Ovis aries: one gene and its partner. The protein of the gene in region 1 interacts with the protein of each later gene in a biochemical or structural test. Links are inferred from orthologs where the notes say so. Each region holds a gene or a part of one and is shown in the gene's direction. Other genes may lie near its edges.

Region 1 (3,231 bases):
TCAGACAGGGCGAGCCATTGCCAACAGATTCATCTTGCTCTGCTATAAAAACAATTCAGAACTCCTATGAATCTAGCCAAACATGGCTGCTCCTCTGCATCCACAACCCAAGGGGAGGGATTTATACTTTTGCATAGTAATGCTTTTACAAATGGGCTTCCCTGGTGGCTCAGATGGTAAAGACTGCCTGCAATGCAGGAGACCCGGGTTCAATCCCTGCCCAGATTGCTCAGTGGTAAAGACTATGCCTGCCAATGCAGAAGATGCGGGTTCAATCTCTGGGTCCAGAAGTTCCCCTGGGGGAGGAAATGGCAACCCACTCCAGTATTCTTGCCTGGAGAATCCCCATGGACACAGGAACCTGTGAGCTATAATCCATGGGGTTGCAAAGAGTAGGACACAATTTAGCAAATAACAACAACAACCTTTTCCAAATGTCACACCCAAAGCTGCTTAACTGACATGCCAAAATACACAGCATTATGTGTTTTCTTTGCACCACTCAGGAAATTCTTAACTTGAAATTCATAGCAAACTGAGGCATATTTACTTAGCATTTTTGAGCTAAGAATATTTTTTTCTAGTTTTTAATGGGATGGTCTCACAGTCTGAGCTTATCTATGAGTTTGAAGATATTTCAAATCGCCAGAAAAATGAACAATCTTTTAGCCAGTTTTTAATAAATTTATCTTATTTACTAGAGAGAGACAGAGAGCTATGATAGGCAGATTCTTCGATTTCTTTTATTATTATATTTTTGATTGTGATAAAATATTATTTTAATCATTTTTAAGCAATCAGATCATGGCTTTAAATACATTCACATTGTTGTGCAACCATTACCAGTATCCATCTCATCTTCCCAAAGGAAAACTCTGTCCCCATTAAAGACTGATTTTCCCATCCTCTCCTTCCCCTAATCCCTGGAAACCAGCATACCTTCTATCTCTATGAATTTGACTATGCTAGGTACCTCATGTAAGTGGGATCATATGGTATCCTTTTGTGACTGACTTATTTCACTGGACATACTGTCCTTAAAATTCATCCATATTGTAGCATTTACTTGTCAGAATTTCCTTCCTTTTTAAAGGGTGATTAATACTCCATTTATAGATGGACCACGTTTTGTTTATTCATGTGTTGATGGACACTTGAGTTGCTTCCATCAGATTCTTTAGCTTCTGTGCCTTAGTTTATCTGTTATTAGGGAATGAAATGGAACAAAGACTGAAGCTGTATATTAAAAAGTTAGGTAGTGACTTTTCACTTTCCTTGAGGTCCGTAATTAATAATCTGCATGCCCATGCAGGGGCCACAGGTTTGACCCCTCATCTGGGAACTAAGATCCCACATGCACTGGGACAACTAAGCCTGTGCAACCTAGCTGCTGGAGCCTTAGTGCCCTAGAGCCAGTGCTCCACAACAAGAGAATTCACCCTAGTGAGAAGCCCAGGAATAGCAACTAGAGAGAAGCCCCTGCTTGCCACAACTGGAGAAAGCCCACATGCAGTAACAAAAACTCAGCATAGACAAAAATAAAGAAATAAAAATTTTCAAAAAAAAGTAATGACCAGATATAAATTCCTATTTTAGCAGTCACTAGTATAAGCAAGCAAATAGATATAAATGACACTTTGAAAGACTCCGCGCAGCAGCAGGAGTGGAAGTTAGACTGCCTGTGCTTCTAGAGTAACGTTTCAGGGCAAGTTCTGCCTGCTTCACAGTCCCACAGATTCCTGGGCTGCTTCCAAGATCTACTAAACCAAAACCTGTAGGATGGAGTCCACTTGCAACAGGACTCTCCTAGGTAATTCTAAAGTTTGAGGGTAACAGCCCTGGAGTAGGGAGGTGGGGGCATCTTGGGTAGATGGGCTTACACTGGCCAAATAAAAGTAAGCAAAGCTGTGGGTCAGCGATCATTCTCTTCTGGATTAACTTTTGCTTCTGGGTTAACTTTCGCTTCCGGGTTAACTTTTTCCCTTCCTGTCTCCTGCACACCCTCTTCCCCAACCCAGGAGCCGCATGGTCCTAGGGGCCACTGAAGCCTTTTACTTGCTGGTGAACAACAAGAGCCTGGGAAGTATGAATGTGACCATGGCAGAGATCTACAGGGACTACAAGGACGAGGATGGCTTTGTCTACATGACCTATGCCTCCCAGGAGATGTTTGGCTGCTTGGGATCAGCAGCCCCTGAGGATGGGAGCAGCCTTGGGGAGGACAGGCCCTGCCATCCTCTCTAGCACGTGTGCTGTAACCAATGCGTTCACCAGTGCAGGAGGTACGGACTGCTTTGTGTGTGTGCAGTGATGATCCGGGGGCAAACCCCCTGCAGTGATAAGCACCAACCATGACAATGAGGCAAGACCTGCCGTGTTTCCTTTTTTGTGCTCACCCTCTTTGGTGGCTCTTGAAAATTTTGGAAATAGTCAGTCTTTTCTGAGAAAGAAGTAGTTAACTTGCTCAGTGAGCTGGGGAGGTATTTTAAGTGTTTCCTGTGATGGAGGCCAAGCTGGAGGCCCTGGAGGTATGTGATCTGCCTTGGTGGGCAGGAGTCCTGAGTATGCTTGGGCATGGAGATCCTGTGACCTGTGGATGGTCTCCATGGAGCCCGGTGCAGCCATTGTGAACTGCCTCATTTGGGGGCGGTGAGGGTGGCGGGTGGAATGACTGCAGAGGGGAAGTGGCCTTATCTATGTCATTAAAGAGATTATTGTTATTTGCACAGCATTCACTTGACTTGGTTGTTTCCCCTTATATTCTTTTAGTCTGTCTGTGCCCCTCACAAAGTTATGCCGAAGTGGTGACTGCTCAGTTTCAAATAATTTAAGTGATTAGTTTTCCTTACAATAGAAGTTTGTGAGTGCCATTTCTTTGGAGCATCTGAGCTGATTGCCAGCATGCCCACGGCTGAACACAGTGCCAACAACAGTGTATTTTGTGAGTGCACACAAAGGATGATGGGTGACAACAGAGAGCATACTTCTTGGTGGACACCTCCTGCAGAGGAATACTCAGTGGCTTCTTTAACAGCAGGTGCCTGCCCATTCTGCCCACCTCACACTGCAGCTTAGAAGTGGATCTAGGGAGCAGACCCTGCCCCTGACAGGGCTGTGACAACCCACAGAGCCATGAGAAGGCCCCAGCCAATATCCAGGGAAGGCTTGGATCACCACAACACCAATTATATCCCATACCCAGGGGATAAGGGCCAGCAAACACTGAGGAAA
Region 2 (4,065 bases), on another chromosome or scaffold:
TCAAACAGTCTAGATATAGAAAAATTGAAGCAACAAATCACATCTACCTTCAGCAGCATTCCCCCTGTGTTATAGAACACTGACTTCTATAATGCACTATCCACTAGTACCTCCTTTCTAAATCCAAAAAATTGGGTACCCCATACGATGGCTACTTATGCGCTGATCTGTTTATTGTTTGTTATTGTTCTTGTAGGATTCCGAACGTTATGTGCCCGAGTCACCTCCGTCCAAAAAACAGGAGTAACTGTGGCTGCAGCAGTCCTTGCTCTTAAGGAAAAAGGGAGGAGATAAGGAGGAGCTGGAAGGCTTTGAGCAGACATGGAAAATGTATTTGCTCCACTTATGACGAAGGTTGGGAGCTGGAACGAGCATAACGGAGGGTTATGAGCGTGCATCGAGTGCCTGAGGCTGGAAACGGATGACGAAGGGTCAGTACGCCCGGCCTTGAAGCGTTCAAAGGCTTCCTTATGACCACCTGTTTCCTGGGAGCAAGGACTGTTGTTTCACGATAAGACTCCCTTTAGAGTTTTGCCAAAGTCACGTTATGTCTTAGGTGGTGGGAACTGTATTTTATGCTTGAATGCTTTAATGTTTATCTGGAATGGCTACGTGCAAGTCTGCCTTATGCTCTATTCCCTGAGAATTATAAAACTGCGCAGCTGGATAATCAACTTTGTCAGTCCACTAGAGGCTGTCCCTGAATGTTCCTTTCAGAGCGCGGTTCTCCGAGCCTTACAAGAAGCAACAGTAAACACAGTTTTCTTTGTAGAAATTGCTCATGGTTTCGAATAAGTGGATGCCTCATTTTTCATAAATTCTAAATGAAAAGCCAACAGTTACTCAATATTTGCATTTTAGTCACAGTGTAAACAATTATTAATCTAATCAACAAGTATTTATTGAAGCATCCTATGTCCTATGAAATTTAGATCATTCCATTCTCCCAGAATCCTATGAAATACTATTATGCCCAATTTCCAGACAGGGAAAAGTTCTGACAAAAAATTTACACAACTGGTGAATATTAAAACGGGACTTCCACTCTAGACTTCAAACCCACAGCTCTAAACCATCAAATCTGGAATAAACGCTTGCTGATTCTGTTAGTTAAAGCAGTAGACCCCCAGAAGCCTCGCGATATTACTGGAACTACTGATCCCAACATGCACAGCGGCTCCTGTGAGGCGGCCTAAGCCGCAGAGTCCGCGGGGTCCCGGCATGCCTCGAGGCGCGAAAGGCAACCTGGGAGCTGTAGTTCTCCTAGGCACCTACCGGTATTGCCAGCGCGGCGGTGGCGGACCGCTTGGTTCCAGTTTGTAGGTCCTGTGAGGGCGAGCTGAGGCGGAGAAAGGGCGTGGAACTGGAACCGGGTGAGTCAGGCACTGTCTACGCGATAAAGGGAGGCGGCACCGCGGAGCGGGGCTGACTTAAGTCAGCGCGGCAGTCTTTTCAGGGACACAGCGGTCTCGGCGTCAGCGAAAAGAGAGCGAGGAGGCGCCAGAGCCCGGTTCTCGTCCTTCTCTCCCCGCCGCCCTCTTCACCATGCAGTCCCGGGAAGAAGCTCCGCGCTCTCGCCGCCTCGCCAGTCCCCGCGGCGGGAGGCGTCCCAAGAGGATTTCCAAGCCCTCAGTTTCGGCTTTTTTCACGGGCCCGGAGGAGCTGAAGGACACGGGCCATTCTGCAGCCCTGCTGGCCCAGCTCAAGTCTTTCTACGACGCGCGGCTGCTCTGTGATGTGACCATCGAGGTGGTCACCCCCGGCAGCGGGCCTGGCACGGGCCGCCTTTTTTCCTGCAACCGTAACGTGCTGGCGGCCGCGTGTCCCTACTTCAAGAGCATGTTCACCGGCGGCATGTACGAGAGCCATCAGACGAACGTGACCATGCACGACGTGGACGCCGAGTCCTTCGAGGTGCTGGTCGATTACTGCTACACCGGTCGCGTGTCATTAAGTGAGGCCAACGTGCAGCGCCTTTACGCGGCCTCCGACATGCTGCAGCTGGAGTACGTGCGGGAAGCCTGTGCCTCCTTCCTAGCCCGCCGCCTTGACCTGGCCAACTGCACGGCCATCCTCAAGTTCGCCGACGCCTTCGACCATCACAAGCTGCGATCACAGGCCCAGTCCTTTATAGCCCACAACTTCAAGCAGCTCAGCCGAATGGGTTCGATTCGGGAAGAGTCGCTGGCAGATCTGACCCTGGCCCAGCTGCTAGCTGTCCTGCGCCTGGACAGTCTAGACATCGAGAGTGAGCGGACCGTGTGTCACGTGGCGGTGCAGTGGTTGGAGGCGGCTCCCAAGGAGCGGGGTCCCAGCGCTGCAGAAGTCTTCAAGTGTGTCCGCTGGACCCACTTCACTGACGAAGATCGGGGCTACGTGGAAGAGCTGCTGACCAAGCCCATTGTAAAGAAGTACTGTCTGGACCTTGTTGAAGGGGCCCTGCAGATGCGATATGGTGACATGTTGTGCAAGTCCCTGGTGCCCAAGCCAGAGAGCAGCAGCAGTAGCTCTGTTGTGTCCATAGCAGAAAATCCACCCCAGAGGCTGGGTATGTGTGCCAAGGAGATGGTCATCTTCTTTGGCCATCCCAGAGATCCCTTTCTGTGCTATGATCCATACTCGGGGGACATTTACACAATGCCATCACCTTTGACCAGTTTGGCTCACACTAAGACTGTCACCTCTTCAGCTGTCTGTGTCTCTCCAGACCATGACATCTATCTAGCTGCCCAGCCCAGGAAGGATCTCTGGGTGTATAAACCAGCCCAGAATAGTTGGCAGCAACTTGCCGACCGCCTGCTCTGCCGGGAGGGCATGGACGTGGCATACCTCAATGGCTACATCTACATCCTGGGTGGGCGTGACCCCATTACTGGAGTGAAGTTAAAGGAAGTGGAGTGCTACAGTGTTCAGAGGAACCAGTGGGCCTTAGTGGCTCCTGTACCACATTCCTTCTATTCCTTTGAACTCATAGTGGTTCAGAACTATCTTTATGCTGTGAATAGTAAGCGCATGCTCTGCTATGATCCTAGCCATAATATGTGGCTGAACTGTGCTTCTCTTAAACGGAGTGACTTTCAGGAAGCCTGTGTCTTCAATGATGAGATCTACTGCATCTGTGACATCCCAGTCATGAAGGTGTATAACCCAGCCCGGGGAGAATGGAGGCGTATTAGCAATATTCCCCTGGACTCGGAGACCCACAACTACCAGATTGTCAATCATGGCCAAAAGTTGCTCCTCATCACTTCTACAACCCCTCAGTGGAAAAAAAACCGGGTAACTGTGTATGAATATGATACAAGGGAAGACCAGTGGATTAATATAGGGACCATGTTAGGTCTTCTGCAGTTTGACTCTGGCTTTATTTGTCTCTGTGCTCGGGTTTATCCTTCCTGCCTTGAACCTGGTCAGAGTTTCATCACTGAGGAAGATGATGCACGGAGTGAGTCTAGTACTGAATGGGACTTAGATGGGTTCAGTGAACTGGACTCTGAGTCAGGAAGTTCAAGTTCTTTTTCTGATGATGAAGTCTGGGTACAGGTAGCCCCTCAGCGAAATGCACAGGATCAGCAGGGTTCTTTGTAAATATTTTGAAATACTAAGATGTTTCTATTGCTATGAATATATCTTAAAAAGATGTCCTTTCCTTTTTCTGGGGAAAAAAGAAAACTTTGATTAGGATTGCATATTTGGTTTAGAAAGGGTAATGTTTGAGTTGCTAATGTAATGTTATAAAATGTAAACAGTCCATGAAATCAGCTATATAATTTACTGTGCTGAAAGTTGAGATTAAAATATGCCTCCCCCCCCCCAAAAAATGAACCATGTAATTGATTAGAATGCTTGCTGGTTTTTTTTCTGTGTTCAAGAATTTGTTGCACTAGTGAATTGTTTTCATTAATTACACGGTTTATATTTTGATTATCTAATTTAGTCTTCTGTTCATTTTTAAATTCTGTTTAGTGTTGTGGGGGGGAAGTTAGCTTTTTCATTTTTGTGTAGAAAATTGGACTAGAAATTGTTGGCAGGGTTTTGAAGATTTCTATCTTCTGAATAATGAAA

Evidence for each region.
Region 2: the proteins of MAP1LC3C (region 1) and KBTBD7 form a complex in vitro, tested with the Homo sapiens proteins (2 studies listed by BioGRID and IntAct, with this or other methods). The link is inferred for Ovis aries from reciprocal best matches to the Homo sapiens genes MAP1LC3C and KBTBD7.

Annotation. Positions count from the first base shown.
Region 1 is NC_056065.1:34,210,538-34,213,768, reverse strand, and holds the end of MAP1LC3C (microtubule-associated proteins 1A/1B light chain 3C), read left to right. Parts: intron 1-2,018; coding exon 2,019-2,244; 3' UTR 2,245-2,731; downstream 2,732-3,231.
Region 2 is NC_056063.1:11,789,708-11,793,772, reverse strand, and holds the start of KBTBD7 (kelch repeat and BTB domain-containing protein 7), read left to right. Parts: upstream 1-1,265; 5' UTR 1,266-1,545; coding exon 1,546-3,588; 3' UTR 3,589-4,065. UniProt on the Homo sapiens protein: As part of the CUL3(KBTBD6/7) E3 ubiquitin ligase complex functions as a substrate adapter for the RAC1 guanine exchange factor (GEF) TIAM1, mediating its 'Lys-48' ubiquitination and proteasomal degradation.